Macaca mulatta: one gene and its partner. The protein of the gene in region 2 interacts with the protein of the main gene of each other region in a biochemical or structural test. Links are inferred from orthologs where the notes say so. Each region holds a gene or a part of one and is shown on either strand. Other genes may lie near its edges. The genes, in order: SEMA4A and PLXND1.

Region 1 (16,089 bases), on a different chromosome or scaffold from region 2:
AATGTAAGCCCCATGAGGGAAGGGACTTTCTTTTTGTTGTTGTTGTTGTTGTTGTTGAAACGGAGTCTCACTCTGTCGCCCAGGCTGGAGTGCAGTGGCCGGATCTCAGCTCACTGCAAGCTCCGCCTCCTGGGTTTACGCCATTCTCCTGCCTCAGCCTCCCAAGTAGCTAGGACTACAGGCGCCCACCACCTTGCCCGGCTAGTTTTTTGTATTTTTTTAGTAGAGACGGGGTTTCACCGTGTTAGCCAGGATGGTCTCGATCTCCTGACCTTGTGATCCGCCCGTCTCGGCCTCCCAAAGTGCTGGGATTACAGGCTTGAGCCACCGCGCCCGGCCCCGGGACTTTCTTTTTTTTTTTTTTTTTTTGAGACGGAGTCTTGCTCTGTCGCCCAGGCTGGGGTGCAGTGGCCGGATCTCAGCTCACTGCAAGCTCCGCCTCCCGGGTTTACGCCATTCTCCTGCCTCAGCCTCCCGGGTACCTGGGACTACAGGCGGCCGCCACCTCGCCCGGCTAGTTTTTTGTATTTTTTAGTAGAGACAGGGTTTCACCGTGTTAGCCAGGATGGTCTCGGTCTCCTGACCTCACGATCCGCCCGTCTCGGCCTCCCAAAGTGCTGGGATTACAGGCTTGAGCCACCGTGCCCGGCCAGGACTTTCATGTGTTTTGCTCACTTCTATATTCCCTGCCCAGAATAGTCGCATGTGTCCTCAAAAAATATTTGTTGAATGAAAAGAAGATAGGGCCGGGCACAGTGGGTCATGCCTGGAATCCCAGCACTTTAGGAGGCCAAAGTGGGTGTATTGCTTGAGCTCAGGAGTTCAAGACCAGCCTGGGCAACATGGTGAAACCCAGTTTCTACTAAAAATACCAAAAAAAGGCCGCGCACTGTGGTTTACGCCTGTAATCCCGGCACTTTGGGAAGCCAAGGCAGGCAAATCACCTGAGGTCAGGAGTTCGAGACCAGCCTGGGCAACATGGTGAAACCCTGTCTCTACTAAAAATACAAAAATTAACTGGGCATGGTAGAGGGCACCTGTAGTCCCAGCTACTTGGGAGGCTGAGGCAGGAGAAGCGCTTGAACCCGGGAGGCAGAGGTTGTACCGAGCCAAGATAGAGCCACTACATTGAAGCCTGGGGGCACAGCAAGACTCCATCTCAAAATAAATAAATAAATAAATTAGTCGGACATGGTGGCGTGAAACTGTAGTCCCAGCTACTCAGGAGGCTGAGGTAGGAGAATCACTTGAACCCAGGAGGTGGAGGTTGCAGTGAGACAAGATCGCACCACTGCACTCCAGCCTGGATGACAGTGAGACTCCATCTAAAAAAAAAAAAAGAAGAAGATAGGAAGATATAGTTCAAGAAAACTCAGAACTGAAAGAACTAAGAGTACTAATTTCCAGGCTGAAGTGGCCCAGTGAGCACCCAGCACAATAAACGAGTAGTGTTCCATCAAAGCACAACACCATGAAATTTCAGAACACCAGGACAAAGAAAAAGCACTACAAGATTCCAGTGAGGGCAGTGAGGGCAGTGAGGGCAGTGAGGCACGCTGCCTATACGGTAGCCCTGCTCCATGAGTATCAGTATTTAAAAAAAAAAAAAAAAAGATTTCAGTGAAATAAAACGAGGTTACATTCAGAGTGCTAGGGATCAGAATAACTTTGGACTTCTCAACAGCACCACTGGAAGCTAGAAAATAATAAAGCAAGGCCTTCAAAGTTTGAAGGAAATGTGTTTCTACTCTAGAATGACGTATACTTAGCCAAATTATCAAATAGGAAAGTAGAATACATTTTCAGACACTCAAGATCTTAAAATGTTTTACCTGCCATGTATCCTTTTCCAGGAATCTACAAAGGATAACCTCCACCAAAATGAGACAGTTGAAAATTCAAAAAAAAAAAAGAGGAAGCCATAGGACGCAAGAAACACGAGATGTGTCACAGGAAAGAGGCAAAGGGGAATCCCCAGGCTGATGAGGAAGGGGGATTCCAGGATGGCATCTGCGCTCCGGGAGTAGAGGGCACTAGTCCAGACTGGAGCAGACAGGAAGGCTCTCCAGGAAGACAAAACTGTTAGAAAAGCTAATAGGTCTGTCTTCAGAAGAGATTCAGATAATTTAGGAAGAGCTTGGGGTTGAATTAAAGATAAGAGCTTCGACCAGGCACAGTGCCTCATGCCTGTAATCCTAGCACTTTGGGAGGTTGAGGTAGGAGGATCACCTGAGGTCAGGAGTTAGAGACCAGTCTGGCCAACATGGTGAAACCCCATCTCTACTAAAATTACAAAAATTAGCTGGGTGAGGTGGCAAACACCTGTAATTCCAGCTACTCGGGAGGCTAAGGCAGGAGAATCACTTGAACCCAGGAGGCAGAGGTTGCAGTGAGCCGAGATCGCGCCATTGCACTCCAGCTTGGGTGACAGAGTGAGACACTGTTTCGAAAAAAATAATAAAAATAAAGAGCTTAGAAAACAAAGCAAGCAGAAAAGTCAAGATAATTACTAGCCCCAGGGAAAACAAAACTATGCAAAAAGGAAAAGTAATCATGGCTTACTACCTGGCTCGGCTGTGAATAAGAAGAGTCATAATATAAATAGTGATCTAACCAAAATTACCAGAAAATTACATTAGGAGATTGGGGGTGGGTGCAGTTACTGTATGTTGGTCCAAGTCAGTTTTGTTGAGAGAGGGTTAGAAAGCCGATTTGCATTGTTTGCTGATTTCTGTGATGTATACTTCCGCCATGGCTAATTTCAAGCTACCAATATAATATCACTGAACACAAATTTGGAAAAAGATGTGCAAAAACAGTTCTTGCTAGCTGCTGCAAGCCAGCTCTAGCACACCACTGGGTGGAGACGGGGGTTGGGGAACATAGTTAAATTCTCGCCTTTTACAATGGAAATTCAACAGATACTGTCAGAAACTGAAACATCAAGAAGTAGCAATAAAAGCATGTTATTTAGAGATTTTGAGATAAATTTAAAAAGAATCAGCTAAAAGAGTTGAAAATGTTTGGGGCGAGGTGGAGGATGGGAAATAAGACTGCTTTTTGTAGTTAACCCTATAGATCTATTTGATTTTAGATCTGATTCTTCAAATCACGTACATATAATAGCTCTGATTTTTTTCTCTTTTGTAGAAATGGGTTCCCCCCAATATTGCCCAGGCTGTGATTTTTTTTTTCTTTTTTTCATTTAAAAACTTTTTTAGAGACAGCATCTCACTCTGGTCACCCAGGCTGGAGTACATTCTCATGATCACAGCTCACTGGAGCCTTGAACTCCCAGGCTCAAGTGATCCTCCTACCTCAGCCTCTTGAGTAGCTGACTACAGGCACATGCCACCATGCCCAGCTAATTTTTTTTGGTAGAGACAGAGTCTTACAATGTTGCCCAGGCTGGTCTCAAACTCCTAACCTCAAGTGAACCTCTCGTCTCAGTCTCCCAAATGGCTGGGATTACAGGCATAAGCCACCATGCCCGGCCTCTGATTTTTTTTTTTTTTTTTTTTTTTTTTTTTTTTGAGACTGAGTCTCACTCTATCACCCAGGCTGGAGTGCAGTGGTGCAATCTTGGCTCACTGCAACCTCCACCTCCCAGGTTCAAGCGATTCTCCTACCTCAGCCTCCCAATAGCTGAAATTACAGTCATGCACCACCATGCCCGGCTAATTTTTGTATTTTTAGTAGAGATGAGGTTTCACCACGTTGGCCAGGCTGGTCTTGAACTCCTGACCTCAAGTGATCCACCTGCCTCAGCCTCCCAAATTGCTGGGATTACAGGCATGAGTCACCACACCCCGCCTGGTCTCTGATTTTTTTAAAAAGTTAAATAATAAAGGCAGGTGGCAATGCCCGAGACAGTCCTTGGCACACAGCCCATGTTCCCTTGTTTCCATAGTGATATACCCAGATATTTGGTGTACAGTTAGCCTTGGTGAAGGGAGATGGCTCTGGCAACTCCTCTGTGTATAAGAGGGTGCTAGGCACATGTGGAATGTAGGCAGCTGTACCAGGTGTATGTCTGAGCAGACAAGATTGGTGGGGTGGAGAGCACTAACATTTATTGGGCCTTTACTATGCCATGATAGGTGCTTTTCCGTGCACATCATGTGTGTGTAGACTGTGATTAGTGTGGGAGGTAGTACTCACACTGCCCGGCCGGGGGTTGGTCTCAGGGCCCCTATAAGTAGTCCAGCGTGAAGTTTCTTTGTTCAACTCTTTGTATTTCCCCTTAAAGACGCGTTCAATGTCCAAGAGAGAGAAGGCACAAACCGCAGAGCTCCTGGTCCCGCCAATCTGCCTGGAGACAACCAGAGGGAACATTGTCTGTGGTCTCTGCCATACCAGGCAGCTCTCTCTCCAGCCCTGGCCCACCCTCAGTGATAAAGCCCAGGAGGCAAGAGTGTGGAGAGCTGGGCCAGCCTCCAGCTACCACTCCTTCCCCTCACTGTGTTGATAAGGGCCAAGGAAGCCCCATGGAATTCCCTGACTCTGGCCCAGGGCCTGGCTCTAGGCCCATCTTGGGATATGAAGTCTGATTATCCTTAATGAGAATTAATTGGGGCTCAGGCCCTGGGGTGGCCCCTGCCTGTCCTGCCTAGACTGGGCTGCACCCATTGGAGGGACAGTGTAACCAGCTCTAGCCTGGCTCCACACAAAGCCCTCTTCCTTTCAGTCTCTTGGATCCGTGGTCCTCAGAGAACCAACCAGTGCCTGACTACCAGACTGTTTTTATTCCTTCAGCCCTGGTCTGTGGAGACAGGAGGTCTGTTTCTCTTGCTCTCTTGAAGCTGACTATTGTATACACCAGGCTCTCAGTTCTGGATCCTGTGGATACCAGACCCCACTTACCCCAAATACACACATTGTCAGCAGGTACCTAAACACTGTGGGGCCAGACCATGGCTCAGGGACCTTGGACAAATCGGTTAACCTTTCTCAACCTTCAAGCAATGACTTTATTTTTATTTATATTTTCTGAGATGGAGTCTTGCTGTGTTGCCAGGCTGGAGTGCAGTGGTGTGATCTCAGCTCACTGCAACCTCCGCCTCCCGGGTTCATGCGATTCTCCTGCCCCAGGGTCATGAGTAGCTGGGACTACAGGCATGCGCCACTACACCCATCTAATTTTTGTATTTTTAGTAGAGACAAGGTTTCACCATGTTGGCCAGGATGGTCTTGATCTCTCGACCTCATGATCTGCCCGCCTCGGCCTCCCAAAGTGCTGGGATTATAGGCATGAGCCACCGCACCCGGCCGACTTTATCTTATGAAACCCATGGTGTTTCCCTGTTTGCCCTGGCCATTAGGAAGTGCAGAGCTAAATTTGTGGCTGGCATCCAGGGACTATACTACATCTTATGACAAGCATTTGTAGTGTGTTGGCCTTATCCCTGGCTTCTCATACTCTCCTTTTATTCCCATTTCTTTATCTATTTTATTGATTTTAATATTTGCCTTTTGCAAAATGCTTCCTATCCCTTTTGGAACTAGGCAGAATATAAACTAGTTAGAACCTCTCTGAGCCTTATTTTTCCCATCTACAAAAAGGGCATGAGTCAAATTTCTCAGAGGTGGTGACAATTTAATGCCTTCCTCTGTGAAAGTGCTGAATAGGTGCTGGCTCATGTCAATTCCTGCCTCCGCCCACGAGCCGGGGCCTCACTGGAGTCAAGTCCCGTGTCCAGTCCCCACGGTCCGGCCCTGCTGCTCACCACTGGGAGGTGAAGACTGCGTAGATATGGGGAGCTGTGGGAGAATCGGCGGGCAGCAGAACCGCGTGGCGGATGACGTTGAAGGGCAGCTGCCCCGGCTTGGTGCAGAGCAACTGGGCCTTCAGGAAGGTGGTCCACTTCCTCTGCAGCAGTTTTTCGCCGCCCACGTCATTCTGGGGGTACAGGGAGAATGAGGGGGCACCCCCAGCCACGCGTGTCCCCGTCCCGCCAACCCCGTGTGTGCTCCCCGCACCCCCAGCCCCGTGTGCCCCACCCCGCGCTCCCCAGCACCTCTGGTCTCCTTCCCCGCCCCTCCCCTCCCTTCCCCTCCCCTCCCCTCCCCTCCCCTCCCCTCCGCTCCCCTCCTCTCCCCTCCGCTCTCCTTGGGGACCCACCACTCAGTCCCGCCCCTGCCATCTCCCTATTGGTAATCCTCCAGTTAGCCCCGCCCCCCGCCCCGCCCGCCGACCTTGCAGACTCGAGCCACCCGGGATGTGTGGAGCCTCTCGAAGAAGTCAAACTCGCTGGCTGTCTCCTCGAAGAAGAAGTAGACGACCTGGGTCGAAGGGATGGCTGCCACGAAGGAGGCGTCCGCTGCGGGGGAGGGGCAGATGGGCTTAGGGACTGAGCCCCTGGATGCCCTCGGTTTGCCTGAGTGAAAACCCTTGGGTTGGCCCTGGAGGCCAGGACACAGGCTTCCTTGGGTCCCACAGCTTGTCCAGGGGTAGCGATGTGGGGAGGGGATGACTGGTGCTTCTTTAATGTGTTTACATAAGATGAAAGCTTCAAGAGGACCGGAGCTTTGTCTTCTTCCCTGCCATATACCCCCTGCGCCTAACAGTAATGGACACATTGTACCTTCCACAAATGAGAGTTGAGTGAATTAGCAAGGTCACCGGGACTCAGGAAAGGGGGCCAGCGGGGGTCAGGTCCTTACGATGCAGCCAGCGGAGGAAGTTGTCGGTCTTGAGGACAGGCTGGGATCCCAGTGTGCGCATCAGGATGGGCTCACTGCCCAGGAAGTTGTTCATGGTACCAGAATAGAGCATCCCATCTAGGGTGGGGGAGAGGAGAAGAGAGAACTGATGGCGTGGACGGCTCCTCTGCCCTCCACAGACCTGCCTCTGACCGACGCTGGCATCCATATCAGTCTTGGGGCCCTTGCATCAGTTCTGCACCTTCCTAGGGAGCCCCAAAGCCCAGCTTCCCCTCCTCACCAAGCACCCCTCTTAGCTTCCTCTCTCCACAGGAAATGGCCATCCTGTGTGGCCCTCCGTGTTTGGGCACTTTTCTAGCCTTTCTGTGGCTACTCCCTCACATACCTAGCTGAACCACTTGCCAAGTGGAATCACTTACTGATCCTGGAAGGTGACTGTGTTTTCCATTTCCACACCTTGGGTCCTACCCTTCTCTCCCTGGAACACCTTCCCTGCCATCTGTCTACATCTTCAAGGTCCTGTGGAAAAGCCGAAGGCCATCTCCTCCAGGAAGCCAGGTGGGAAGTCTGTAATAGTTGGTGTCCAGTAGTGCATTGAAACATGGTTTCTCTCTCTCTTTCTTTTTTTTTCTTTCAAGACAGGGTCTTGCTCACATCCAGGCTGGAGTGCAGTGGTGCCATCACAACTCACCGTAGCATTGACCTTCTCAAGCGATCCTCCCACCTCAGCCTCCCAAGTAGCTGGGATCACAGGCACTTGTCCGGCTAATTTTGTTGCTATTGTTTTGTTTTTTTAGTAGAGACGAGGTCTGACTATACTATTGCCCAAGCTGGTCTCGAACTCCTGAGCCCAAGTGATCCACCCGCCTCAGCCTCCTAAAGTGCTGAGATTTCAGGTGTGAGCCACCACACCTGGTCTGATTTCTTGTTTATAACTCCTATACTACCCAGCACAGTGCCCAGTACACCAGAGGAAGTGTTCACACGATTGTTGAACAGCGGCTCACTCTCAGGCCTCTTCTCTACCCAATACCCTTCCCGAACCCTCGTGCCTCTGTGTCTTTCCACATCCATCTTTCTCCACCACTTTTTGTGGCAATTTCAGCAGGAGTTGGTGATTGGGGGTGCTTAATTCTCCCTCTGATCTTGTGATCTGAGGCTTCTGGCTTCCCTCTCTCTTTCCTCTGCCTGTTTTGTTTTGTTTTGTTTTGTTTTGTTTTGTTTTGTTTTGAGACAGTCTTGCTTTGTTGCCCAGGCTGGAGTGCAGTGGTGCAATCTCGGCTCACTGCAACCTCCACCTCCCGGGTTCAAGCAATTCTTGTGACTCAGCCGCCTGAGTAGCTGGGACCACAGGTGCGCCCTACCATGACTGGCTAATTTTTTTTTTTTTTTTTTTTTTTTTTTTTTTTTTTTGAGACGGAGTCTTGCTCTGTAGCCCGGGCTGGAGTGCAGTGGCCGGATCTCAGCTCACTGCAAGCTCCGCCTCCCGGGTTTACGCCATTCTCCTGCCTCAGCCTCCGGAGTAGCTGGGACTACAGGCGCCTGCCACCTCGCCCGGCTAGTTTTTTTTTTTTTGTATTTTTAGTAGAGACGGGGTTTCACCGTGTTAGCCAGGATGGTCTCGATCTCCTGACCTCGTGATCCGCCCGTCTCGGCCTCCCAAAGTGCTGGGATTACCGGCTTGAGCCACCGCGCCCGGCCAATTTTTGTATTTTTAGTAGAGATGAGGTTTCACCATGTTGACCAGGCTGGTCTCGAACTCCTGGGGTCACGTGATCCACCCACCTCAGCCTCCCAGACTGCTAGGATTACAGGCATAAGGCACTAAAGTCTGGTTTTTGTGTGTGTGTTTTTGTTTTTGTTTTTTTGAGACGATCTCCCTGTGTTGTCTAGGCTAGACTCAAACCCCTAAGCTCAAGGGTCTTTCCACCTCGGCTTCCAAATAACTGGGACCATACGTATCCATCACTACACCCAGCTTTTCCTGCCTTTCGGAAAACTCTGTACTATTCCATATTTCACAGCGTGACTGGAGAAAGCAGATGTTGGGATGAGGTGAGAAACCTGATACTCACCCACCAAGACAGCCGTATGCTTGTGAGCGGGGTCAAAGGGGCTTTGGCCTTTTCCCTCCATGACCTTGTCCTCCAAGATGGGCAACAGGTGTGAGTCTTGAAGTTCCTAAATGGGGAGAGAGGCTGGGGGGCCAGAACGCCAAGGTCTCACATCTGGGAAATGAGGGGCTTGAGGAAGGAAGGGAAAGTGACATAGAGGGAAATTGGTCTGGGGCCAGGAAGTTGATGAGGGTCCTGCATCTGGAAGGCCAGAGTTTTCCAGAGCTACAGAGGAATGCCGAGGGTAGATGTGGGAAGGAATGCTTGGGGGCCTGAGCACTGGGCACCAGAGAACTCACAATGAAGGTACAAGCAGGGCTGAAGGCGAAGGTGCCGCAGGTGTAGAGATGGGTGACGTTGTAAGAAACCAGGACACGGATGAAGTTGAAACACTGTGTCTGAGGGAGACAGAGAATTTAGGTCTCCAGGCCACTTACCTCAACTTCCTGGACCCCCAGAGCCTGCCCCCTCACTGAGGAGAAAGGCTGGGTAATGCTGGGGCAGTCCCTGTACCTCTCTGTAGAACATAATCCAGGAGATAACCATGCAAACAAGCGCCCTCCACTGCCGCCCAACCTGAGGCTATCCAGGGATGGTGTAGGGATGCCAGGGCTCTCTACCCACTCTACCCCCACTCCCCCACCTCCACTTACCTCATTGCTCTTCTTCTTAAAGGCACATTCACTCTTTTTTCTGTCACTGGCTGGCCACGGTATCTGAAAGTAGGGAGTTGGGAGGGCAAGATGAAAAGAAATGAGGTCTTCGGTTCTCACTGTGACCTGCTTCCCTTCTCTGATGTGAAATCAACAGCAGGCATGGTGCTTAGTGATATGCTGATGGGCAGTAATAGCATCAGTTTGTGACCATGGCTATTACTTGAATAATACTGATATCAGACATAGCTCCATAGTTGAACACAGCCTAAGGAATCAGACAGACCCAAGTTTAAATCTAGACTTGGCTATTTCCTGACTGAGAGATCTTGGTCAATTTCATAGGCTACTGGCAGATACAACCAGGTGGCATATACAAAACACCTAACACGAAGAATGGTATATATGGCAGCAGTTGTCAAACCGCACATTTCCTGGGGAAATTGTTTAAAATGTTTGTTCCTGGGTCACGCCTTAGAGAATCTGCATTTTTAACCAGCATCTCATATGTGCAGGTGGTCAGCAGACTACACATCAGGATACACGAACCACGGAGGTGATCACTATATTGCTAGTGCCTTCTCTCCCTTTCTTCCTTCCTTCCTCACATTGTTCCCAGTAATAGGGTGACTAAGACAGAAGCAGCCGGGCATGGTAGCTCACGCCTGTAATCCCAGCACTTTGAAAGGCTGAGGCGGACGGATCACCTGAGGTTGGGAGTTCGAGACCAGCCTGACCAACGTGGTGAAATCCCATCTCTTTAGCCAGGCCTAGTGGTGGGCGCATGTAATCCCAGTACTCAGGAGGCTGAGGCAGAATTGCTTGAACCCAGGAGGCGGAGGTTGCAGTGAGCCGAGATCATGCCATTGCACTCCAGCCTGGACAACAGAGTGAGACTCTGTCTCAAAAAAAAAAAAAAAAAAAAAAGGCCAGGCGCAGTGGCTCACACCTGTAATCCCAGCACTTTGGGAGGCTGAGGCAGGCGGATCACGAGGTCAGGAGATGGAGACCATCCTGGCGAACACGGTGAAACCCCATCTCTACTGAAAATACAAAAAGAAAATTAGCCAGGTGTGGTGGCGGGCGCCTGTAGTCCCAGCTTCTAAGGAGGCTGAGACAGGAGAATGGCGTTAACCTGGGAGGCGGCGGAGCTTGCAGTGAGCGGAGATCGCGCCACTGCACTCCAGCCTGGGTGACAAAGCAAGGCTCTATCTCAAAAAAAAAAAAAAAAAAAAAAAAGACACAGAAGCATCAGTGATCTCTACTAGTGGTTAGATATCAAATTGTTGACATAATTTGAGTCAATGTTTATCTCATATGTCAATGATTTCCATATCAGCCATTTTTGCAATTAATATTATTCAATCACTATTCACAATACCAATGAAGAGTGAAGTCACAGGCCAGGCATGGTGGCTCACGCCTGTAATCCCAACAGTTTGGGAGGCTAAGGCAGGCAGATCACCTGAGGTCAGGAGTTCGAAACCAGTCTGGCCAACATGGTAAAATCCCATCTCTATTAAAATTAGCCTGGCATGGTGGTGTGTGCCTGTAGTCCCAGCTACTTGGGAGACTGAGGCAGAAGAATTGCTTGAACCCGGGAGGTGGAGGTTGCAGTGAGCCAAGATCGTGCCCACTGTACTCCAGCCTGGGCAACGGAGCAAGACTCCATCTCAAAAAAAAAAAAAAGTGAGGCCACAACATTTCCTGTCTGTTATATTGTCACGATATACATATAAAGAGAACTGCTGATTACAGATAGCAGCAACTGAGCTGTTACTCATGCACAGGCAGCCAAGCCCAGGGCAGCTGCTGGCCCCCTTCTCACTCCCAGCCCACACTCTTTATCCCTGGACTCTTTACCATGTTCTTTAGCCTGGGGACCCCTGGATCCTGGATATCCAAGGCCAGGATGGCTTCTCGAGCCCCCACATAGAGAGTATTTCCATTACCACTCAGGAGCAGAGTATCAAAATCCTGGAGGCCCTTCTGGTGGAAGAAGCTGAGTGCCCTACGTTCATCCCCTGTTGGAGGTAGTAAGAAGGAGAGAGTGATGAGGACTTGGTGGGCAGCTGACTCCTGAGATATAAGTGGGGGAAGGGGAAGGGTTGCCTGAGTGTGCTCCCCGGGCCTTGGCAGCTAGACCCACTCTCCTCCACCAGCAGTTCTCCCCTTCACCCCACCCTGCCGGCAGCCACAAGAGCTTTGTGTGTTGAGCCCACAGTAGAGAGAAGAGGCAGCCAGAGACAGAGTAATGGGGACAGGAAATAAAGTGAGGCACAATGGATGCTCTTCCAGGCCTGGGACAGGGAGGGCTACCATGGGGGAGGATGCCTTGGTCCTCAGTAGGACGGGGAGCAGCAGGCAGACAGACAAACAGGAAAGTGTTGGCAGCCACAAGCAGCAAAGCTACATGCAGACAGGAGGGTGTGTGTCAGAGGGTCCCTCTCGCCACCCCCCCAACCACCCCTGCTTTCTTCCTCTTCTGTTAAAGGAAATTCCCACCAGTAGAGTCACCATAAACAGAGAGGAAGCATTTTTCTTCAAAGATCTGTGTGGGCATGGCTGGATGTCCCCTGGGCAGAGATAGTGAGCCAGGTGTGGGAGGCTCCTCTCCATGACCTTGGCATTGTGGGGTGGGTGGGGGTGTATGTTCCTGTCCCACTGGCACATCAGCGAGGAGGAAGGAGCTCCTCAGATCCTCTCTTATTAGCACTTGCACTGTTGCATTAGTTAGAAAGCTGACTAGCTAACTGATACGTTTGTAGGCTCAGGGAATCTTACACAGGACAGAGGGGAGGAGTTGGGGAATATGGTGCAGCTGCGGGCTGGAAGGGCTGGCCTCAGGGAGGAGCATCTCCCGGAAGCCAGGCCTCCCCCAAAGCTGCATAAATCCCTCAGTTACTGAACAGATCACCCTGTATTGATGGTCTGCTTGCTCATGTGCTTCCCCCTTTGTGACTGTGAACACCTTGAGGGCAGGGGCTGAGGCTTATCCATGTTTGTACGCCCTGCATCCAACACAGAGGAGGTCTCTGCATCAGTGGGCAATATACGTTTCCTTTACTGATTGCCCCAGAAAGATGCTAAAGACACAGCCACGCCCAGTCACCTACAACTCCTGCAGTGTCTATATCCTTTCCTGAGTCTTCTCCCTGGAGGTGAGGGGACCAGCAGCCTCCACAGTCTCAGTAAGAAACCAGTCAAGCTGTGCTTGCGTGTGGGTTCCAGGGCCCATTCTCCGACCAACCATCCCACAGTCCTGGACATGGTATGGTCCAGCATGATCTATGTGGTTGGCATGGGCCTGGTGTGCCCTGGGTCACTGGGTCCACGCATGGTCTTCTAGCATGGGCCTTGATTTTGGGGTACTTGGGAGTGTGAAGCAGTTAGGAGTTTGAGGTGCCCAGCTTGGTGACAGTGATATTTAAGGAAGTAAAGAAAAATTACCGATTTTGGAGAACTGGAAGAAGCAGTGCCCGTGGCCCCGTGGCCCCGTGGCCCCCTGTTTTTCTCAATCTGCTCTCCAGTGGCTTTTCTTTCCATTTGGACTTCTATTTCTGGCTGTGTCTCTTTCTCCGAAACCCTCTGTTTCTCCCTGGCATCTCTCTCTGTGTCCCCGTTTCTCCATGTCCATTTCCCCCCTCTCCTCTGTTCCTCTCTCCTTCCTCCACCCACCTCCAGCTCTCTATTGCCATCCCCACACTTGCTGCCATCATACACTTACCTGCATAGTATCTGACCCTGGGCATGGGCCCCTGCCCGCCTCCCCCCGCGGTCGTCGTCGGCAGCAGCAGCTGGAGCAGTTGGAAGAGGAAAAGGCCCAGGAGGCTCCAGGGGTCCAGGCCCAGGGCTGGGAGGGCCATGCTCAGCCACAGACTGTCACCAGGGAGCTCTGGGGAAACAGGCACCCGGGCACTTTCTGGGTGAGCAGTTCTTACCACATCCCCCCTGGGGACCAATAGGAGAGCCCCAGGCAGCAGAAGCGTGTGTATTGGTTGGGGCGGGGGGGACATTAGGGCAGGGAAGGTTCCCCATCTAGAAGGGCCCTAAGACAGTCTCACTTTCATCATCCTTCCAAGCCTCAGCCTGTCACCTCACTGTCCCCTGTGGGTGTCCCCTATCCTTCTTCTTCTGCTGTCTTCTCACCAACAGCTCTGGTCTGCCTTTTCTTGCCTTATTCTTAGGACGTCTTTCCTGCCTTTCCTCCTTTGCCTTCCCTCTTCTCATAGCCCAAGCCCAAACCGTGGCCTGGCTCTGGGCAGGGGACATTTTGGGGAGCAGGTTCCTGCACCCAAAATATAAATTCCTCAGACCTTACTCTCCTGTCACTTTCAGATCTGTTGACACCTGTGCCTCATACTCAGCTCTGACCTAGGTGGGCAGACCTTTGAGTCTGTCTGCTCTAACCTCTCCCCCAGCCCCAGCTGGGCTCAGGGTCTTTGAGGCTCAGTCCTGCCTGGCCTGATTCTTCCAGGGAGGCAATGAGGGTCCATCCCGCCAGGTTGGCTATCAGCATTTCCTGGGGAGCTGCCTGGGCAGGGGTGGCTGGCCGGCTCCCAGCCTCTGCAGCTCCCCGGCCCCCTTGTCTCTTGCTCCTGTGTCTGCCTCCCTGGGCCTCTACATAATCTTTCCCAAGACCACCCACCCCAAGCCACCCATCTCACCTCACATACCCTTGAACCAGCCACAGTGGGAAACTCGGTGTCTGGATTCTAGGGCGGGGGTGCCATTCAGGAGAAAGAAGAAGGGGGATTCCCAGGCCCCAGAAGCAGGGGACAGAAGGCTCAGCCTGGCTGGAACGGGAGTGCAGCCCTCCAGGTGCCCATCATGCCAAAGCCAGAACTGGGAGCTCTGGGCCAGGGAAACCGGAATTTCCACCTCTCGAGTTGTGACAGATCCTGGCTTGGGTGGAAGTTGGTGGTTTGGGAGGGAATAAAAAGAGGTTCACCCACCTTACAAGAGACACACCTCTCTCTCCCTCCTCTTGCTCGGTCCAACCAGAAAGTTTAAGAGGCCCTTCTAGGTCATTTCAGTGATTCCCCTGTCTCTCCATCATGTCACAGCCAGTCTAACCAGCCTAGCAGTGGTTTCTCCTCTTGCTCAAGATTTCCCAGATAGGGGACATGACATATTCCTCTTTTCACTTACGCACAAGGTGGGGTCTCTCCACTCCTACCTACTGGGAAGTCCCTGCAGTGGTCTAACCTTTAAACCTCCCACTGTCAGCTAGGCCATAATCTTTCTTAAAAAATGAAAGAATTGTATTAGGCTCTTATCTGTGATTTTGCTGAGGAAGTCCCCCTTGTAGTCTAATCTCCATCACTCCTTGACATCAGGCCAATAGGAAGCCCAAAAATCAGGCCAATAGGAAGCCCAGAACATTTCTCATCTGAACTCATGCTCACTGGACCACACTTTGGAGGCGCCCAACCCCCAAAGATGGCTGCTTACCCCTCCTCAAAGGCTCCAGGGGGAGCCTCATAACGCAGGGTTAATGAGGCATCCAGCGGCAAGAACTCCATGGCCTACAAAGTGGGTAGGTTCCTGCCCACTCAACACGGTCAGCTGACTGCAGGTTAAAGAGCACAGACATCCCAGGGCTAATCCAACTCTAATAAATAATCCACTTCCATCTGACATGCACATTCCTCCCTGGCAGGAAGTCCTTCCTGCAGTGTAACTTCCATCCCTCCTGCTACAGCACCAGCCAACATGGGGGATGTTACAGCTCAGGCTACTCCTTATAATTCCTCATCTGAGGTACTCAGCCTTCTTTCGTCTCTCTCAATTTCCCCAGGGGTTGGTCTCAGACATATCCTGCCTAATAATCGTTTCTGTCAAGACTTGCCTAGGACTCCCCCAGACTCTCCCAGAGGCTGTTTGCCAGGTTGCTTCCAGCTTCTTAGAATCAAGAGAAACTCCCATTTATCCAGACCCTACCTTCTGTGTCTCCCCAACCCCCAGCTCAGATTTGGGAAGCCGGTCTTCCCCTGGGCCTCTCTGCTTAAACAGATTGGCTTATTTGGGTCACTGGGAGGAGTTCTGATACGGGGAGGTTGGGGGAGTTCCAGCCCCACACTTCCAGCCTGATGTCCTATTCCCGCCTTTCTGGAAGTGAAAGACTCCATGCCCTGCCCCCAGTTCTTCCTCCAGACATCCAGAATTCTCCCAACTCCAGATGTCCTCTTCCCCAGTCCCTCTAGCCAATATGAATAGTTCACACTATCAGGCTTTAGTCCTCCCAACAATTTTAGCAGCTAGGTACGGACATAATCCCATTTTACAGATCAAGAAGAGAGGTTACACAGCTAGAAGCCAAGTTGAATTCAGATCTGCCTCATTCAATAGCAAATCTCTTAGCTACAAAGACTCTACAGAGTCCTAGTCATTCAGTCCTCCTCCTGCCCCAGTCCACAGTTCTGAGCCACTTGGATAGAGAAGGCAAGCGTGGGCTGGGAGGGTAGTGAGCTTTGCCTACTCTAGGTTAAGAAACAAGATCTCTGGGGTGATTTCTGAGGACTTTCAACAGGCCAACACCAGAACATTAAACCAAGCATGGGCTTTTTTTTTTTTTTTTTTTAGACAAAGTCTTGCTCTGTCGTCGCCAAGGCTGGAGTGTAATGGTGCGATCTTGACTCACTGCAACCTCCGCCTCC
Region 2 (16,089 bases):
CCATGCTCTGGGCACTCTTCTAGTTAATTCCTACCATTAACAAGGGTTGCATTTTACAGTGGAGGGGAAACTGAAGTATAGGGAGGCTAAGTCACTCATCCAAGAACACACAGCTAGGAAGAGGCAGAGGAGGGCTTGAGCCCAAGCAGGCGAGGCCAGAGACTAGACTCTGAACCCCCTGCCACAGGGGCCCCAATGGCACAGTGAAGTCCGCACGGCCCCCGCCCCGCCACCTGTTGGTCTTCCAGATGTGTAGGGTGTCGGGGTCCGAGATTCCCCTCTTCTCAGCCTGTTCCTCCAGGAAGTCAAAAAAGTACTTGACAGCAAGCGGAGGCTTATCTTCACGGATACTCAGAATGGCCTTGAACAGGTCATCCAGAAACTTCTGCAGCGTGCCCTGCGGGGGAGTGGGGTGGCCGCCGTCAGCCCCGGGCCACGTGCAGAGGGCTAGTGGGCACCCTTGGTGGCTCTGCAGAGCTTGAAATGCCCAGGCTGCTGAATGAGGGAGCCACGCGGCGTCAGGCTGGTCACCGAGCCTCTCCGGCCTCAGCATCCGAAACTTGCCTCACAGAGGCGTTGAAAGGACTAATCAAGGCATTGGCACATGTAGTCGAGAACTGGAGGCACCAGAGTATGGGCTGTGGGGTGCCAGCGCTGCCACTGAGCCACGTGCCCTTGGGGACATCACTGACCCCTCTGGGCCTCTGCTGTACCCTGTTACGTGGGCTAACATAGAAGTGTCTGTCAGGCATTTTTCCTGGCTGTGAGAAATGCCTCAAGTGGGACCCTAAGCCTTCAGCCTCTTGCCCCTCCAGCCCCACAGGGGGAATAGGAAGAACTCACACCCCTCTTCCAGCCGTGTGTGCACAGCTGGCCCTGAGCAACGACCCTCTGGGGCTGGGGCTGGAGCCTTGTAGCCACTGCACGGAGGGGAGACTGAAGCCGGACCCACCTTGGTGGAGAGCAGGCGGGTCAGGTAGATTTCTGGGAGCACCTTCTTGCGATGGCTCTGCCGGTGAGACTTCTTGGGCTCCGCCAGCTCGTCCGTGGGCAGCACCTGGGAAGCCGGGCAGTGGTCAGTGTCCGCACCAGGCCCCACTCTCGGCCGCCTGTGGGAGGTCTGGCTCTGCCATGCTTCTTAGCACACAAGGGTTGTGGTTCCCTCCTGATTCTGGGCCCCATCCCTACTCCCCCACCCCCAGCCTTTCTCAGGGCCGGGAGCACTTTTCCCAGAGGCCCAGGGCCACAGAAAGCCAAGGCCACACCCACTGAGGGGCTGGATCCCCTGGGGCCGAGGTTGGGCACTCACCAAATGGAAATACTTCTCTGTGTCCAAGTCTTTCACTGCGAGAGGAAAAACACAATAAATAAACATGGGAGAGGAGGGGAGAGAAACAGCAATGAAGACAGAAAGATGGGGAGAGAAACAGAAACAAAGACAGAAAAAGAGGGCAGAAACAGAAACAAGACAGAAAGATGGGGAGAGGGAAACAGAAACAAGACAGAAAGATGGGGAGAGGGAAACAGAAACAAGACAGAAAGATGGGGAGAGGGAAACAGAAACAAGACAGAAAGATGGGGAGAGAAACAGAAGCAGAGACAGAAAGATGGGGAGAGAAACAAACAGAGACAGAGATCCAAAGAGACAGGCAGAGAGAATGAGACAGAGATGCAGAGACTCATGGGGAGACTGAGTCTGGGAGAGACAGAGAGAGAGATAAGTGAGATCCAGAGACACACAGAGAGTGAGACAGTGAGGCAGAGAGAGAAAGACACACACACACAGTGACCACAGGGATGGAGGGACTTGGAGGGAGGAACAGCGGTGGAGAGAAACAGAAAGATGCAGCCACGGGGGAGGAGAGGCCTCAGGCAGGCAGAGGTGGCTTCCTTCACCCACCCCACCCCTGAGCCCAGAGCTCCTGCCAGCCCAGACTCCCAGGCTGCTGGGAGAGACCGAGACTCTGCTCTCAACCTTAGGAGGGGACCCCGAGACCCAGAGGAGCCCGGGCTGGCAGGCCTAGCAGCCAGGCGGCTGTGCCTGGGGCGTCTGAGGCTGTGGAGGGGGCACTTGAGGCAGGGACATGGCCCAAGGCTGAGACGGGCATGCTGGCCCCCCTTCTGGCCTGGCCACTGCCCAGACCTCCCGGAACTGCAGCCCGCCCTCCCGGGGCCTCTCTCCAGCTGCCGCAGGAAATCAGCTTGAGGAGGCCTGGTGTGGGCCCTGCCCCAGCAGTACTGGGTCAGAGGAGGCTGGCCCCGCCCAGTCTCCACCAAGGAGGCCTCAGCCCAGGCCAGCCGTGACTCTCGGACCCTCAGTTTCCCCACAGGGGCATGGGATGGAAGCCCCCGTCCACATGCAGTCTAGGCTTCCTTCCCACGTGCACCCGCACTACCTCGGCCCAGTGTGTTGTCCTTCTTGTCTATGAGACTCATGGCCAGCGAGGCACCTTCAGGGATCTGATGGGAGGGGAGAGGCCGAGGTCAGAGGCTGGAGGTCGGGGTGGGGGCATGAGGGTGGGGAAGCAGGGCAGGGGGGCAGGGCTGCACCTTGTAATGGGCCAACGTGTTAAGCTTCTTGCGACCGTCTTCCACCACGGAGGTGTCGTCCAGGTCCCGAAGGATGTAGCTCTGTGTGCTGGAGGCGAACCACTCTGGGGGACAAGGAGCAGGCCATCAGGGTCTGGGCAGGGAGCTGGGCCTGAGGGGTGGTTACTGGCCCAGTCACACAGGGAGAGGCCTCTCGCTTTCTCCATGGAAAATGAGGAAAGCCATACCTCTCTCTGAGCCCCCATTTTCCCATCCATAAAACGGAGAGAGCAGGAAAGAGCTGGGGGAGAGAATGTGAGGGTACACAGTGAAGGTGCCAGGGTGGAGGGCACAGAGGAGGAGCTCTGGAAATGGCCTTGTCTGCAGGGTTGTTAATGTTACAATTGCTGATGAAACCCTTGGCCTAACCCAGAATCCTATAAAACCCACTCCAGGCCCCACGTGGTGGCTCACACCTGTAATCCCGGCACTTTGGGAGGCTGAGGCAGGAGGATCGCTTGAGCCCAGGAGTTCAAGACCAGCCTGGGCAGCATAGCATGACACTATCTTTACAAAAAGTAAAATTAGCTGGATGTGGTGGTGCACACCTGTAGTCCCAGCTACTCAGGAGGCTGAAATGAGAGGATCACTTGAACCCAGGAGGTGGAGGCTGCAGTGAGCTGAGATTGCACCGCTGCACTCCAGCCTGGGTGACGGAATGAGATCCTGTCTCAAAAACAAACAAACAAACAAACAAATAAACCCCACTCCAGCATCCCTCCTTTAGGAATTAGGAAGCCTTTCCTGAAGGCTTTTTGCTGTTGTCTGTAGCTCACTCACACTGCAGGACTTGTCTCCCTTTGTTTCTGCCGAGGGGGCCTCATTGGATCCTCTCAGTGTCCCCACATTCATGCACCCATGCCAGGTGAAAGGAGTGTTTCCCGTCAAGGCAGGGGCTAGCCCCGGCTGAAGCACCTGACTCGGGGTCTCTGCCCCCATTCCCACCCACCGAGGTCGACGTCCTCTGCACGCGGCCACTGGGAGTAGGGCACATTCTTGCAGAAGGCCTCCAGGATCTTCTCCTTGACCTGTGTCAGCGTGTCAGTGTCCATGGCCCGCACGCTCAGCGAGTCCATGCCACAGCCCTGGAAGGACACGTTCAGGTTCTGCAAGGGGAGAGTGGGAGAGAAAGGTCAGTGAGTTGCTGCCATCACTATGCCGGTACCCAGGCAGCCATGCCCTGCCCAGGAAGGCTGGGTCAATGCCGTAGGCCAAGATGCACCAGCCCTGGGACCCTCCCCACCCTGCCGACTCACCCGGGGCTTGGCCTCGATGTTCTCCCGCAGCAGCCACTCCTCATTGAGTGTGTAGCGGGCCTTGCCCGTGATAGCGTCGATGGAGCCCTTGTTGATTTGCTGCTTGATGGCGCACAGCAGCAGGAAGAATGGCTCCCCCACTGTCTCCTGGGGTGCACGGGGGTATCAGGGCCAAGGTCCCCTCTGTATTCCAGCCCCCACGCCTTGGGCCAAACACCTTCACGCCCCCGTCCCCCCACCCCTCAGTCTCCTTTTGGATCCTGGTGTAACACTCTCCTCTCCAGGGTGTCTCCATGGACCCTAAGCTTGTGTTCATTAAACAGCACCAGTTGTGGGTGGGGGCATTCATTGCCTCATCCCAGCGACCCTTCCGGATAGGCAGTATCATCTTTACTGTGCAGCCAACAGTGCCGAGGCTCGGAGAGGGCAAGTGACCTGCCCAGGGTCACCCAGCTGGGAAGCGGCAGGGCAGGAATCGGACCTGGCTCGGCTGACTCCCAAGCCTGTGACTTTCTCCTAAGTGGGTGGCCCCAAGGGTGAGTTTAGGTGGACCCGGAACACCGATGTGGCCTCGACCCCACTCGCAGGCTGATGACCGTGGAGTCTCAGGCGGAATGAGGCTCATAGTCCCTGCTCTTGCCCATCTCCACGGGTGGCCCTCCAGGCAGTGGCTCTGCTGGACCCACAGCCATGAGCTGATTCTCAAGGCCATTGTCCAGCAAGGGACCCAGGTGTTCTACTGGGATAGTTTTACTTAACTACCCACCAAAATTGATTTAAAGAAAAATTAAGTACATAATAGTATTAGGCAGATTTGGCAAAGATTACGAAGGCAGCCTGCCAGCCCAAGTCCTGGTCCAATTCTCCAGGTCTGGGGCGTGGGAGGCACTGATTCCCTGCTTTCTAGAGGAGGAAACAGGCTCATAGGGGAAGGCCTGGCTGAGGTCACAGAAAGAAGCCAGGGGAGTAAGGTCCAGGGTCCACAGTGGCCCTTGTGGTTCCTGATGGCCCACAGTGAGGCAGCCCGCGGAAGGTGAAAGCACCCCGATGGCCCCTCGCAGGCCCTGCCTCTGCTCCACCCCACTACCCCCTTCCCCCAGAAGGGGCCGTGGGGCTCCCTCAAGCCCCCGGCTCAGGGGCAGAGGCCCCATTTGACAGAAGGAAACCAAGGCCCAGAGAGGGCAATGAGTAGCCCAGAGTCACACAGCTGGGATGTGCCAAAGATCAGACTCAAGCCCAGGACATCCTGGCTGGGTGCAGTGGCTCACCCCTGTAATCCTGGCACTTTGGGAGGCCAAAGCGGAAGGATTGCTTGAGGCCAGGAGTTTGGGACCAGCCAGTGCAACAAAGCAAGACCCCCATCTCTTCAAAAACTAAACAACAACAACAACAACAAAACAGAACATCTGAGGCCCTGGTTCTGGGCTCCAGGCAGGCCTTTGCCTTTCTCCCACAATCCTCCAGGCAGCCCTCTAGCCTCCAGCACTGTAGGGCAGCTGGACGGTGGGACAAGACCAGAGGCTGAGCAACCCTTGCTCTGCAGAAGAGAGCTTACGGGGGTCCTTCTGGCAGAAGGCAGGAGGCCCTGCCTACCAGGCCCACCCTCTTCCCAGCCTCTGCTCTCATCTGGAAGATTCTCTGGCCTTCCTTCCATTCCTTCCATGAACATCCCCTCCTCCTGGCCTCTGCCCTCCTGCTGTACCTGATGCCTGGAGCACCCTCCCCACCATCCTCGCCCGGCCCACTCTCTGAGGTCTCAGCACAGGGTCGCCTGCTCCAGGAAGCCACCTTGAAGCCTCCAGACAGATGGAGGCCTCATGAGCTGAGCTCTGCTGCAAGGCACTGGCCACTCTGTATTTTGTTTCCACGTCTCACCCTTAGGGTTAGGAGAGCCTCAAGGGCCAGCCAGGGGCTGATTTCATCTCCTGAATCCAAAGCAGGGAAGGGTGGATGACTGAGAAAACCACGGATGGGACAAGGCCCCTGACACAACCTCTATTATGCCCCAAGCATCTGTTGAGCCCTTGCAGCAAGCCAGCCAGGCCTCCCCTGGGCCACGGCTCCCCGCTCTGCATAACAGGCCCTACAGCCTGGCCTGTCTCATGCAACACTCCCTCCTGGCAGAGCTGGCCTGAGGGTGCCAGGGAAGGCCTGGGAGGCCGTGGGGTCACTGCTGCCGCGTCCCTGCCACAGCCCCCGCCTGGGCTCTGTCTGTCCCCGGGCGGCCTCACCCGCAGACAGCTGTACATGCAGATGGACATCCAGTTGGTGAGCATCTTCTCCACCACAGACTCTGTGCGCCGCAGCATGAGCTTGGGGTTCTTGGCGGCCGAGGCGTCAATGAGGTCCACCAGCAGCTCCTTCATGATGCTGGTGTAGTACTCCAGCTTGCCGTGCAGCGCGATGGTCAGCAGCGAGGCTAGGCTGCACCTGCGAGCAGGAGGCAGGTGTCAGCTGCGCCTTGAGGCCCTAGGAGCTGTGGGTCCCAGGGTCTCAGTGCCGCCTCATCCCTGGGCCCAGCGGTCCCAGGAGTGCCTGTGTGGGTGGGTCCTGCGAGGGGTGAGTGGGGCTGGAATCCTCCCGGAGAAACACCACCTTCTTCTATGTCCGCAGCAACCACCGTGCCCCGTGAGCCAAGGTCTCGGGCATCCAGGCCCAGGAAGGGCTGGAATATGGGGGTGTCAGGAGCCCCAGAGCCCCAGGACCTAGGACCTGATGCTGTGTGGCCTTGGACAGGCTCCTCTTCCCTACCCCACCCCAGTCCATCACAGCCTGACCTGTCGCGCACCGCAAAGTCCTTCTGCTGCTCCAGCGCATGGACAAAGACGATGAGGAAGTGCTTGTTGTTGAGTAGCGAGGAGAACAAGCTGATTCCCTCTTCCATGTTGGGCCGGCAGCTCTCAGGAATCTGTGGGAGCAACTGGTGATGGGGTGTCCAGAGGGGCCCAGTGTCCCTGCCTAGCCTAACAGCCAGTGCTTATGATGGCTGCTTGTATGCCTCCTGGGATGGGGAGCTCATTACCTTCCATGGTGGATGCCTCCTAACCTTTGTGGCAGGGAACAATGGCTTGGTTGAATTGAGAAGTGGGGCTCAGAGAAGGGTGAGGGTGCCTGAAGATAACCTGGCATCCCAGTGTGAGGGACTCTCACCTTCCATTTTCTAAGCAGCAGGCGGAGTGGGTGTACGAGGGGGTCCAATCCTCTGTTTGCTCTACCTGGCCTTGGGGGGCAGCACTTAGAACACCCTGAATGGCTGCCTGAATGCCTCCTGGGATGGAGGCCTCAGTACCTTACAATGGCAGATGCCTCCACATGACAAGGATCAATGGATTAGATGAACTGGAAAGGGAGGAGCAGGGTTGCCTGGAAGTAGCCCACTGTGTGTGGGTTGGGGGGTACTCACCTTCCACTCTCCCAGCAGTGGGTGGGTCTCCTGTGCCTGGGAGCTGCCCTGTGAGTTGAGGGTCTGGGAGGGCAGCACATAACGCTCTTCATAAAGGGAGGAACACTGCAGAGACAGACCCCCAGCATCTCAGTGGGGCTGGACACCCCCTGCTGGCATGCAAAGGTCACTCATACAGAAAGGGCACCAGCTTGGGCTGCTGGGGGAAACTGGCACAGAATTAGCTCCCCATAAAGGAATAAGAGGCAGTGGGCCACGCCCGGGGGCTGTGGAATTCCAGGAGTATGGCCACACCAGACAGCACAAGGCTTAAGGGGAAGCAAAAGCAGCTCCATGTGCAATGGGGGAAACTGAGGCAGAGAGGTTGGGAGTCTGAGCTTTAGCCTGAGGCTGGGAAAAGCCACTGGAGAGTTTCGTGAAAAATGATGTAGTCAAACATGGGCTTGCTTTGGCCGCTTTGTGGGGAATGGTGTGGACAGGGGACGGAGGGTGGTACCACCAGGAGGGAGCGAGGGCAGTGGACCCTGGAAGGGCAAGGGGAGGCGTGACAGGCATGGAAGGGGTGGGGCAGGAGTCCATTGGACAGGAGGAGGGAGTGTAGAGACCAAGTGAAGCCTGGTTGGGAAGAGGCACAGGGAGGAGAGAGGCTGGCATGGGACAGCCCTGGCCACTTCTGCCCCACCTTGAAAAGGGGAGAGGAAGGCCCAGCTGGCCAGGAGAGTGGGGCTACAGCTGGCTTCCGTGTGGACAGTTAAACATCAAGTGAGCAGAGAATAAGAGTGAAGAATCTGCCTCCAACCCTCCACCCCGTGGCAGGCCAGGGCAAGTGGCCAGGACGGCTGTGGACAGCTGTGCAGGTTTGGCACTGCTCAAGGGACCCTCTAGGCTGGCAGGGCTCAGAGAGGTTGAGTTGCCTTGAGGTGGCTGGCACAGGTTCAGGGGCAGACTCAGGCTCGGGCTGACCTTGGGGAAGAAGGTGCGGGTCACGAAGTGCTTATACTCCAGGAAGGGGATGCCCTGGCTGCGGTTCAGCTCCTTGGTCAGATCTGTCATGTCTGTCTGCAGCTCAGCAAAGCCTGGCGGACACGCGGACAGCCATGAGTGGCCCGAGAACCCATCCCCCAGGAGGGAAAGTGGAGGCCCAGCCCTGCAGGGTCCCAGCCCATTACCTTTGCGGATTTCCTCGCGGATCTGAGATTCCATCTCCTCCATCTGCAGCAGCGTCTTCTGCCAGTAACGCTCAGCACGTCGGCTCTTGGTACAGAAGATGAATAGGGCTGTGGGCAGTGGAGAGGCAGGTCAGGCCTCTAGTGCCCTTTGAAAAGCTTTTATTGGCACCTGCTGTATGCAGGGCCTGGGGCTCTGCTCGCTGGCCTCAGCTCCAGCTCCTCTGGGCAAGGTGTGGGAGGAGGCCCTGCAGTCCTCCCTCCTGGGCAGGGTTGGGGTTGGGGGTGGGGAGTTGCAGGGAGCTCTCCCATGGGCAGAGGGCTTGGGGAATGGCCAGCAAAGCAATGCCTGATGACCTGTTCTTAGAAAAAGAAATGTGTAGTGTTACAGCTCTGTTAGAATTTGTCTAGCCCCCTTAAAAAAAAAAGAAAAAGAAACAGGAATACGTGTGTGTGTGAAATAGTGGTTAACAGCGGCTTTCCTGGGTGGGAAGATTCTGGGTGACTTCTGTTTACTTTCTGCTTTTGAGCATTTTCTATTCCTTCTACAATGACCAGGTGTTACTTGTAAATTAAGAAACTTTTAAAAGCAGATTACAAAGCAGTATTACATTATAACCTTTTCTGGGGTGGGGAGGAATGTATATATAATGTATTAAAATATCTATTAATATATAGTATTTTCAGAAAAGAGACTGGGAGGGAATATACAAAAATACACAGGGTACTAATGATGGGTATTTTTTCCTTTTATCATCTTTCAGTTTTTCCAAAAATTTTCTGCATTGAATATACTCACTTTAAAAATAAAACAGCTTTATTGTGATATAATGTACATACCATATAATCCGGTGATTTAAAGTGTATACTTCAATGGTTTCTTTTCTTTCTTTTTTGTTTTGAGACAGAGTCTTACTCTGTTGCCCAGGGTGAATGAAGTACAGTGGCACGATCACAGCGCACTGCAGCCTCCACCTCCCAGGCTCAGGTGATCCTCCCACCTCAGCCTCCTGAGTAGCTGGGACTACAGACTCGTGCCACCATGCCCATGCAATTTTTGTATTTTTTTGTAGAGATAAAGTTTTGCCATGTTGCCCAAGCTGGTCTTGAACTCCTGGGCTCAAGTGATCCACCCACCTTGGCCTCCCAAAGTGCTGGGACTACAGGCACCAGCCACTGCGCCTGGCCTAATTCAATGGTTTCTAGTATATTCACAGAGTTGTGCAACCATCACCACTAATTTTAGAGCATTTTTACTGCCTCAAGAAGACCCGTAGCCATTCAGCAGTCACTCCCCATTCATGCTCTCCCTAGTCCCTGGCAATCACCATTCAGCTTTCTGTCTCTCTGAATTTCCCTATTTTAAACATTTCATATAAACGGCATCATACAATATGCAGCCTTCGGTGAGTCTTCTTTCGGTTAGTGTAATATTTTCAAGGTGCATGCCCATGGTGACATGGATCAGTACTCCACTCCTTTTTATGGATAACTGTCCATTGTATGAATAGATCATATTTTACGGAAAATTTTCTATTGTATGAATAGATCATATTTCATTTATCCATTTATTGGTTGATGGACATTTGGGTTGTTTTGACTTCTTGGTTATTATAAATAATGTTGCTGTAAACACGTGTGTATAAGTTTTTGTGTGGCTACGTTTTCATTTCTCTTGAACAGATAGCTAGGGGTAGAACTGCTGGCTCGTAAGTCATAGGGTAATTCTATGTTTCACATTCTAAGAAACTGCCAAAATGTTTTCCAAAGCGGCTGCACTTTGTTTTATTCCCTCTAGTAGTGTATGACGGCTCCAGTTTCTCTGCTACGTCGAGTCTATTACTTTCATGACCATTATTTTAACAGCAATACAGCCCACCAGACATGTAGGTTAATTTTCCCTGAGTAACCTTTTCTTAAGTACCTTCAGTAGCTCTCTATTGACTGGAGAACACAGTTCCAAATTTCTCTGCTTGAGATTCAGGGACCTTGGCCTGGGCCCAGCATGTCCCCCAGCCATCTAACATCTTCTACCCATTGGTGCTGGAGAGGGGCACACCTCCCCCGACCTCTGGGTGCCTAACCTGTTCCCGTGGCCAAGCCTTTGTTCAAGCTGTGCCCCATCCCATCCTGCCTTCCTCCATCTGCCAATCTTCAGAGGGGCTGGGGCAAGGTGGCAAGCCTGCCCTCCAAGGTGTCCTGAGGATGGGGCTCCTTACCCACCACGGAGAGCAGCAGCAGGACGCTGCAGATGACGATGGACACAACGATGGCCGTCTCGCTGCCCCCCAGCTGCAGTGTGGCGATGGTCTGGTTGAAGTTCCCTACCTGGATCTGTGTAGAGGTTGGGGAGAGGGGTTGTAGCTCTCCTAGACTTACACTCTGGTTCTGCTCCTCATTTGCTGTGTGGCCCTGGGTAAATTACCTAACCTCTCTGAGCCTCAGGTGCCACATTGATAACATGGAGATAACAATGTCCACCTCCTGGGGACACTGGGAGGGCTAAATGAGGGCTTGTCAAGCCCTTGGTCCTGGGCCTGGCACAGAGGTGGCTCAATACAGGGGGCTGTGATTATCATTACAGCCTGGGAGGAGTAGTGAGTGAGCCAGAGGAAGCAGTTCACGGGGCCTGGCTGCTGTCCCCAAGTATCTGCAGGGCTGCCCTGAGACCAGGGGGTAGGTGAGGTATGATGACTCAGAGGGCAGGACTGGGACTGAGGTGCAGGTAAAAGGAAGCTTTCCCAGTCAGAGCCATCCTGGGGTGGCACATGTTGCTTGGGAGAGAGTGAGCTCCCCATCCCAGGAGGCATGCAACGAGATACAGTGCAGAAAAGATCCCACGTTCTGGCCTCTCTCTGCTCCTCCTGCTCCCCTGCCCTCCATGCCTCTACATGGTGCCTGGCAGCCCAGGCTCTAGGACAGACACCAAGTGGCGTAGGGACAACTTCTTATGGTTTCTGATGGTCCAGGTCCAGATGGGGCCCATCACTGACCTCAAGCAAGTCACTAAGTTCTTGGGCCTCAGTTTCCTCATCTGTCAAGTGGGGATATAAAGCTCTGCTTTGCTGGACTGAGCTATTGAGCATGAAAACGCTCAGTGAATTCAGGTGCTGGGTAACGGGCAGATGCTTGGCAGATGGGCCAGGGGTGGGGGCCGGGTCTGCCCTGCTCCGGCACCCCATCCACTCACTGTGATGGGCAGCTGCCCCTCGGCTGCACCCAGGGACTCGTTGACCGAGCAGTGGATGATTCTGTCAGAGACAATCTGGATGTCACAGCTCACTTGGCCTATCTTGACCCGGTACTCGTGACTCTGGAGCCCCAGGCTGTCCTGCTCCTTCTGTGGGTGCAAAGGGGGAGAACTGTGGTGTGGGGAAGTGCTCCCAAGGCCCATGGCTGAGGCTGGCTCGCTTGCCCCCGCCTACCCTGGCCCCTTCCATGCTCACATGGATGACGAGGGTGAGAGGCTCCCCGGGGTGGTGCTTGATCCACTTCTCCCTCTTGGCCGTAGAGAACTGTGGGTTGGGGAGGTAGTCCAGGCGGAACCTGCTGCCCCGCTGTGCCTCCTCGGGGTCCAGTAGCTCCTCAGTCACAGCCACCTCGTCTGCATAGGCCCGTCCATTGATGAAGAAGTCCACTGCTGCCGATGCATTGCTCAGGGCCCCGGGTGACGGGCAGGTGATGAGAGTGGAGTTGAGAACCTTGCAGAGCTGGGGCATGAGGGCCAGGGGCCAAGACCGGGGTGCAGGATGGACGGATGGACATGGAGAAACGGGGGGAGTGGGGTTTGAGGAGACACAGAGGCAGAGGGAGGAAGAGGGGACAGAGATGCAGTGGGAGGAGGCCTGGTCAGTTAGGGCCCTGGCTGTGCCTGGGCCACCCCCTCCCAGCCATCAGGCCCCTGACTGCCTCACCGTGGGCTCCCGGCCAATGTGGTGGACGGCCATGGACACATTCTGCACCATGTGGAAACGCTCACCAGCCACCGTGATGGTCCTGCCGCCACTGCGGGGGACGGCAAAACCTATCAGTCCACCTGCAGCCCCAGAGAGCCTGAGGGAAGGGCGGGGTGCCAGTCTTACCTGACAGGGCTGCGGCGGGGACTGATGGCCGTGATGACTGGGTTCTGCATGTACCAGAAAGTGAGGTTGCCGTGCACGCAGCCCCGACGCTCGAAGCGCACACACACAGGCACCGGAGCCGGCAGGGCCCCCTCAGGCATGGTGCAGGTGATGCTGGTGTCTGTGCGCCTTGGGGGAGCAGCAGATTATCAGCAGGGCCTGCCTCCTGCTGCTCACCCACCGCCAATGCCCCTGAGACCTGGGGCACAGGCCCATGCACTTGGCCCGGGGTTCAAGGCCTCCTTGACTGGTCCCAATTCATCTTAGCACCTAGCTGTTTCCTTATACTTCCAAATTCTGCCCCATCCCACCTCCTCCGGGAAGCCTTCCCAGGTCTTCTCTCCCGCCTCCACCCCTGGTGAAACCTCTCTCCCTAGATCCCTGAAGGCACTGACTTTTCTCCCAATCCCACTGGATGTTCCTAATTCCTGTGGGTGTGTCTGCCCTTCCCTTGAGGGCTATGTTGTGCTCCTCTTGGTGTCCCAGCAATGCCCATTAGTAGGGTCTGGTACACAATAAGTGCATAATAAAGACAAAGGTGTTTCGCCAAGAGACTCCAACCACACCCCTGCCACTCACCACACCCCTGGGCCAGCCAGAAGATCTGAATGTGTGCAATCAACACCATTCTCATTACAGCTATCACTTATGGAGCATCTACTGTATACCTAGCACAAAAAGCCCTTCTTCCAATTACTGGTACTATTCTTGACAGCTGAGGAAACTGAGGCTCAGAGAGAAGTGGCTTGGCTTAGGGGACACAGCCAATGAAGACTCAGGTGAGGCTTGGCTCAAGGATGTCACCTCCAGCCCACCAGCCCCCAAGCCCGTTGATTTCTCTGGACTAGAAGGGGTGGGTCAGGCCCAGAGGCTTACATGAGCTCTGTGCAGGGGTCTGTGTCGTTCACCAGGACCTGGAGCTCAGAGCCTACATGGAGGTCATTCCCGTGGATGGTGATCCTGGTGCCTCCGGCCTTCGGGCCCATGGGAGGCTCCAGGGAGTGGACCAGGGGCAGCTGTGGGAGGAAGGCAGGTGTTTGGGCCTTGGGCCAGCCCCCCGGGAGCGTGTGTGCTGGGCAGGCGGGACAGTGGGCTGTAGCCCCCCTTACCACGTAGGAGAAGCGGTCCCGGGACTTGCCCTCCTTAGAGGCGTTCACAGTCACTATGTCTGAGAGTGGCCCTGGGGCTGGCCCCGTGACACACACAATCCTGAGGGGAGGTGCTGTGGTCAGTGAGAGCGGCCAGCAGTCCTCAGCCCCCACGGCCACCCTGGAGCCAGGCTCAGGGATTGCCCCATTCCACGCCACACCACACTTCCAATGCCTTCTGTGTATAATTTACCCCATGAGTTTCCCACAGTTCTGCAACTATAAGACAAGGGGCTGGGACAAGACGGTCTCTGATCATGAGAACGTCTGCTGGGCTGGTAGATGACGGCTCTTCCACATGCCAGACGCACGGCCTCCCGAAAGGAAAGCCAGCTCAGTCTCTGCTCATGCATGTTTCCTAGGACCCCTCTGGGCCAGTCATAGATCTCTGAACCATGCCAGTAGCCCCAGCCTTTTTAATTTTAAATGATTTTCCTCAGAGCAAGGCTTAGGTGGAAGAAAGGCTGGGCTAGGGCAGCCTGTGAGAGCTTCCCAGAGGAGCTGGCATCAGAGACAGAGCTGGAAGGATAAAGCAGATGCCCCAAGCAGAAATGGCAGGATGTGTGGTGGGAATGGCTTCGGCACAGTCCCCGAGGCCACGAAGCAACAGGCTTCCAGAAAGCAGCAGAGTGAGGACGGAGGATGGGGAGGGAGGGGTGAGGACAGAGCAGAGGCTGGCACTGCTGGAGAGGGTGGGTGGGGGCACCGTGGCTACTCACTCCTCCGACACCGTGTATCTGTCAGGCAGTGGCTCACAGGCCACACCACCAATCCACACGCCGTGGGCCACGTCACTGAGCCGCCGGCCCAGGTTCCTGCCTCGGATGGTCAGCAGGGTCCCGCCATCCAACGGGCCACTCAGGGGCTCAATCTGCCAGGTGACCCGAGAGAGGGGCAAATGGGGTCTGAGACTGGAGGCCAGCAGGCTTCTGCCCACAGTCACAGGCACCCAGCAGGGCACGGGCATGCTTAAAGGAAGGTCTGGGGGCTCAGGTGGGGCTGGGGCAGTGGCCACTTGGCAGGTCACTGTGCTGCCAAGGAGGATATGTGTGTGCATTACTGAGCCCATGTGGGCCCGGGGATGTTACTTAGGGGTTCTCCTGCAGGATGCTGAGGTCAGCTCCCAGGGGCAATGTTTGGTCATGTCATTGGTGGCTTTAGTGATCATGGTATCCCCCAAAGCTAACAACGTTCAGCCCTCGGTGTTTCCTCCACTCCACACTTCCAATGCCTTCTATAATTTACTCATTTCCTTATTTATTACTGTCCACCTCCCCCACTGAAACGTCAGCTCTGTGAGGCAGAGCACTTCCTTCTGTTCACAGGTGATACTGCACCCATGAGCCGGTGTATGTGTTGGTGTTCGAGTCCCCAGGGAGTGGGACCCTTGTGGATGCTGCCTATGAGCTGTGCCAGAGTGTGGGTGCCACGTGCCTCCACTGGGCGTGCTTACCGCGCGGATCTCGGGGGCGGGGCAGGTGCCAGGCATGGGCTGCAGGGGCCCCCGCAAGCGGCAGCCGTCGCTCCACACGCACAGGTGACCCAGGTCCTCGCGGCCCAGGCACTGGGAACAGTCGGGGCTGCCCGTGGCACAGTTATAGACCACGACTGGGGAGACACGGGGCAGCTCGGTCAGCCCCGCTCTGTAGTGCATGCCCCATCACCGCTGTCCCCTCCACACTCAACAGCTATCAAGAGGTCTGCACCCCATCATTGTGGTGTCCCACCCAGAGGAAGTCCTGGTTCTGGGCGTCAGGATCCTGTGAGGTTCTTAGCCCCTTCCCCAAACCCCGGGGCCTGTGCTGAGCACAGTGCAGCCCCGGCCTCCCTGATTTCCTTCCCCTCACAGAGACTCCAGCTGGGAGCCTGGGGTCAGCCTCACTTTACACAGAAGAGGCTGAGGCTCAGAGAGGAGGGACTCGCCCGAGCTCACAAGGCCTGTGGGTGGCACAGCCAGATCCCACCCAGGCCACAGTGGGTCTGATCACCCCCGGCAGGGCCGCAGGATGCCAGGGACCCCTGAGTAATGTGGGCTATGAGGACTTGGGGGCTTCAAACCCTCCAAGTAGCTCAAGGAGGAGGGCAGGGAAGGTTCTCTGGGGCCTTGGGTGTGCAGGGCCATTCTGGGACCTTCACGGTGGGAATCTGGAGGGCACCACGTCCACCAGGGATGCCTGAGACTCCCCATGAACAGAGGAGCCCCTGGAGAGTAGACCCAACACAGTCACAGCAACTGCAGAGCCGCCACTCAAGGGGTGCTGACCACACCCCAGATGCCACGTTCAAGGCTGGGCGAGCCCCGGCTCATCAGGTCCTTCCAAGCTCTGCAGAAGGACTGTGTCCTCTTTTCTTTTTTTTTTTTTTTTTGAGACGGAGTCTCGCTCCGTCGCCCAGGCTGGAGAGCAG

What was found.
Region 1: the proteins of PLXND1 (region 2) and SEMA4A form a complex in vitro, tested with the Homo sapiens proteins (2 studies listed by IntAct, with this or other methods). The link is inferred for Macaca mulatta from reciprocal best matches to the Homo sapiens genes PLXND1 and SEMA4A.

The regions. Positions count from the first base shown.
Region 1 is NC_133406.1:110,764,971-110,781,059, forward strand, and holds part of SEMA4A (semaphorin-4A), read right to left. Parts: intron 15,444-16,089; exon of another isoform or gene 15,282-15,443; intron 15,003-15,281; 5' UTR 14,916-15,002; coding exon 14,885-14,915; intron 14,537-14,884; exon of another isoform or gene 14,386-14,536; intron 14,336-14,385; exon of another isoform or gene 14,332-14,335; coding exon 14,107-14,331; exon of another isoform or gene 14,098-14,106; intron 13,326-14,097; coding exon 13,158-13,325; intron 11,455-13,157; coding exon 11,294-11,454; intron 9,494-11,293; coding exon 9,431-9,493; exon of another isoform or gene 9,398-9,430; intron 9,250-9,397; exon of another isoform or gene 9,176-9,249; coding exon 9,077-9,175; intron 8,862-9,076; exon of another isoform or gene 8,845-8,861; coding exon 8,739-8,844; intron 6,781-8,738; coding exon 6,664-6,780; intron 6,321-6,663; coding exon 6,196-6,320; intron 5,900-6,195; coding exon 5,727-5,899; intron 4,313-5,726; coding exon 4,162-4,312; intron 1-4,161. UniProt on the Homo sapiens protein: Cell surface receptor for PLXNB1, PLXNB2, PLXNB3 and PLXND1 that plays an important role in cell-cell signaling. Regulates glutamatergic and GABAergic synapse development.
Region 2 is NC_133407.1:154,356,346-154,372,434, reverse strand, and holds part of PLXND1 (plexin-D1), read right to left. Parts: intron 15,292-16,089; coding exon 15,137-15,291; intron 14,555-15,136; coding exon 14,403-14,554; intron 13,745-14,402; coding exon 13,645-13,744; intron 13,552-13,644; coding exon 13,412-13,551; intron 12,665-13,411; coding exon 12,497-12,664; intron 12,420-12,496; coding exon 12,329-12,419; intron 12,125-12,328; coding exon 11,861-12,124; intron 11,755-11,860; coding exon 11,605-11,754; intron 10,749-11,604; coding exon 10,634-10,748; intron 8,526-10,633; coding exon 8,418-8,525; intron 8,325-8,417; coding exon 8,212-8,324; intron 7,354-8,211; coding exon 7,249-7,353; intron 6,754-7,248; coding exon 6,623-6,753; intron 6,276-6,622; coding exon 6,077-6,275; intron 3,993-6,076; coding exon 3,846-3,992; intron 3,696-3,845; coding exon 3,539-3,695; intron 2,655-3,538; coding exon 2,551-2,654; intron 2,461-2,550; coding exon 2,397-2,460; intron 1,345-2,396; coding exon 1,310-1,344; intron 1,058-1,309; coding exon 953-1,057; and 4 more. UniProt on the Homo sapiens protein: Cell surface receptor for SEMA4A and for class 3 semaphorins, such as SEMA3A, SEMA3C and SEMA3E. Plays an important role in cell-cell signaling, and in regulating the migration of a wide spectrum of cell types.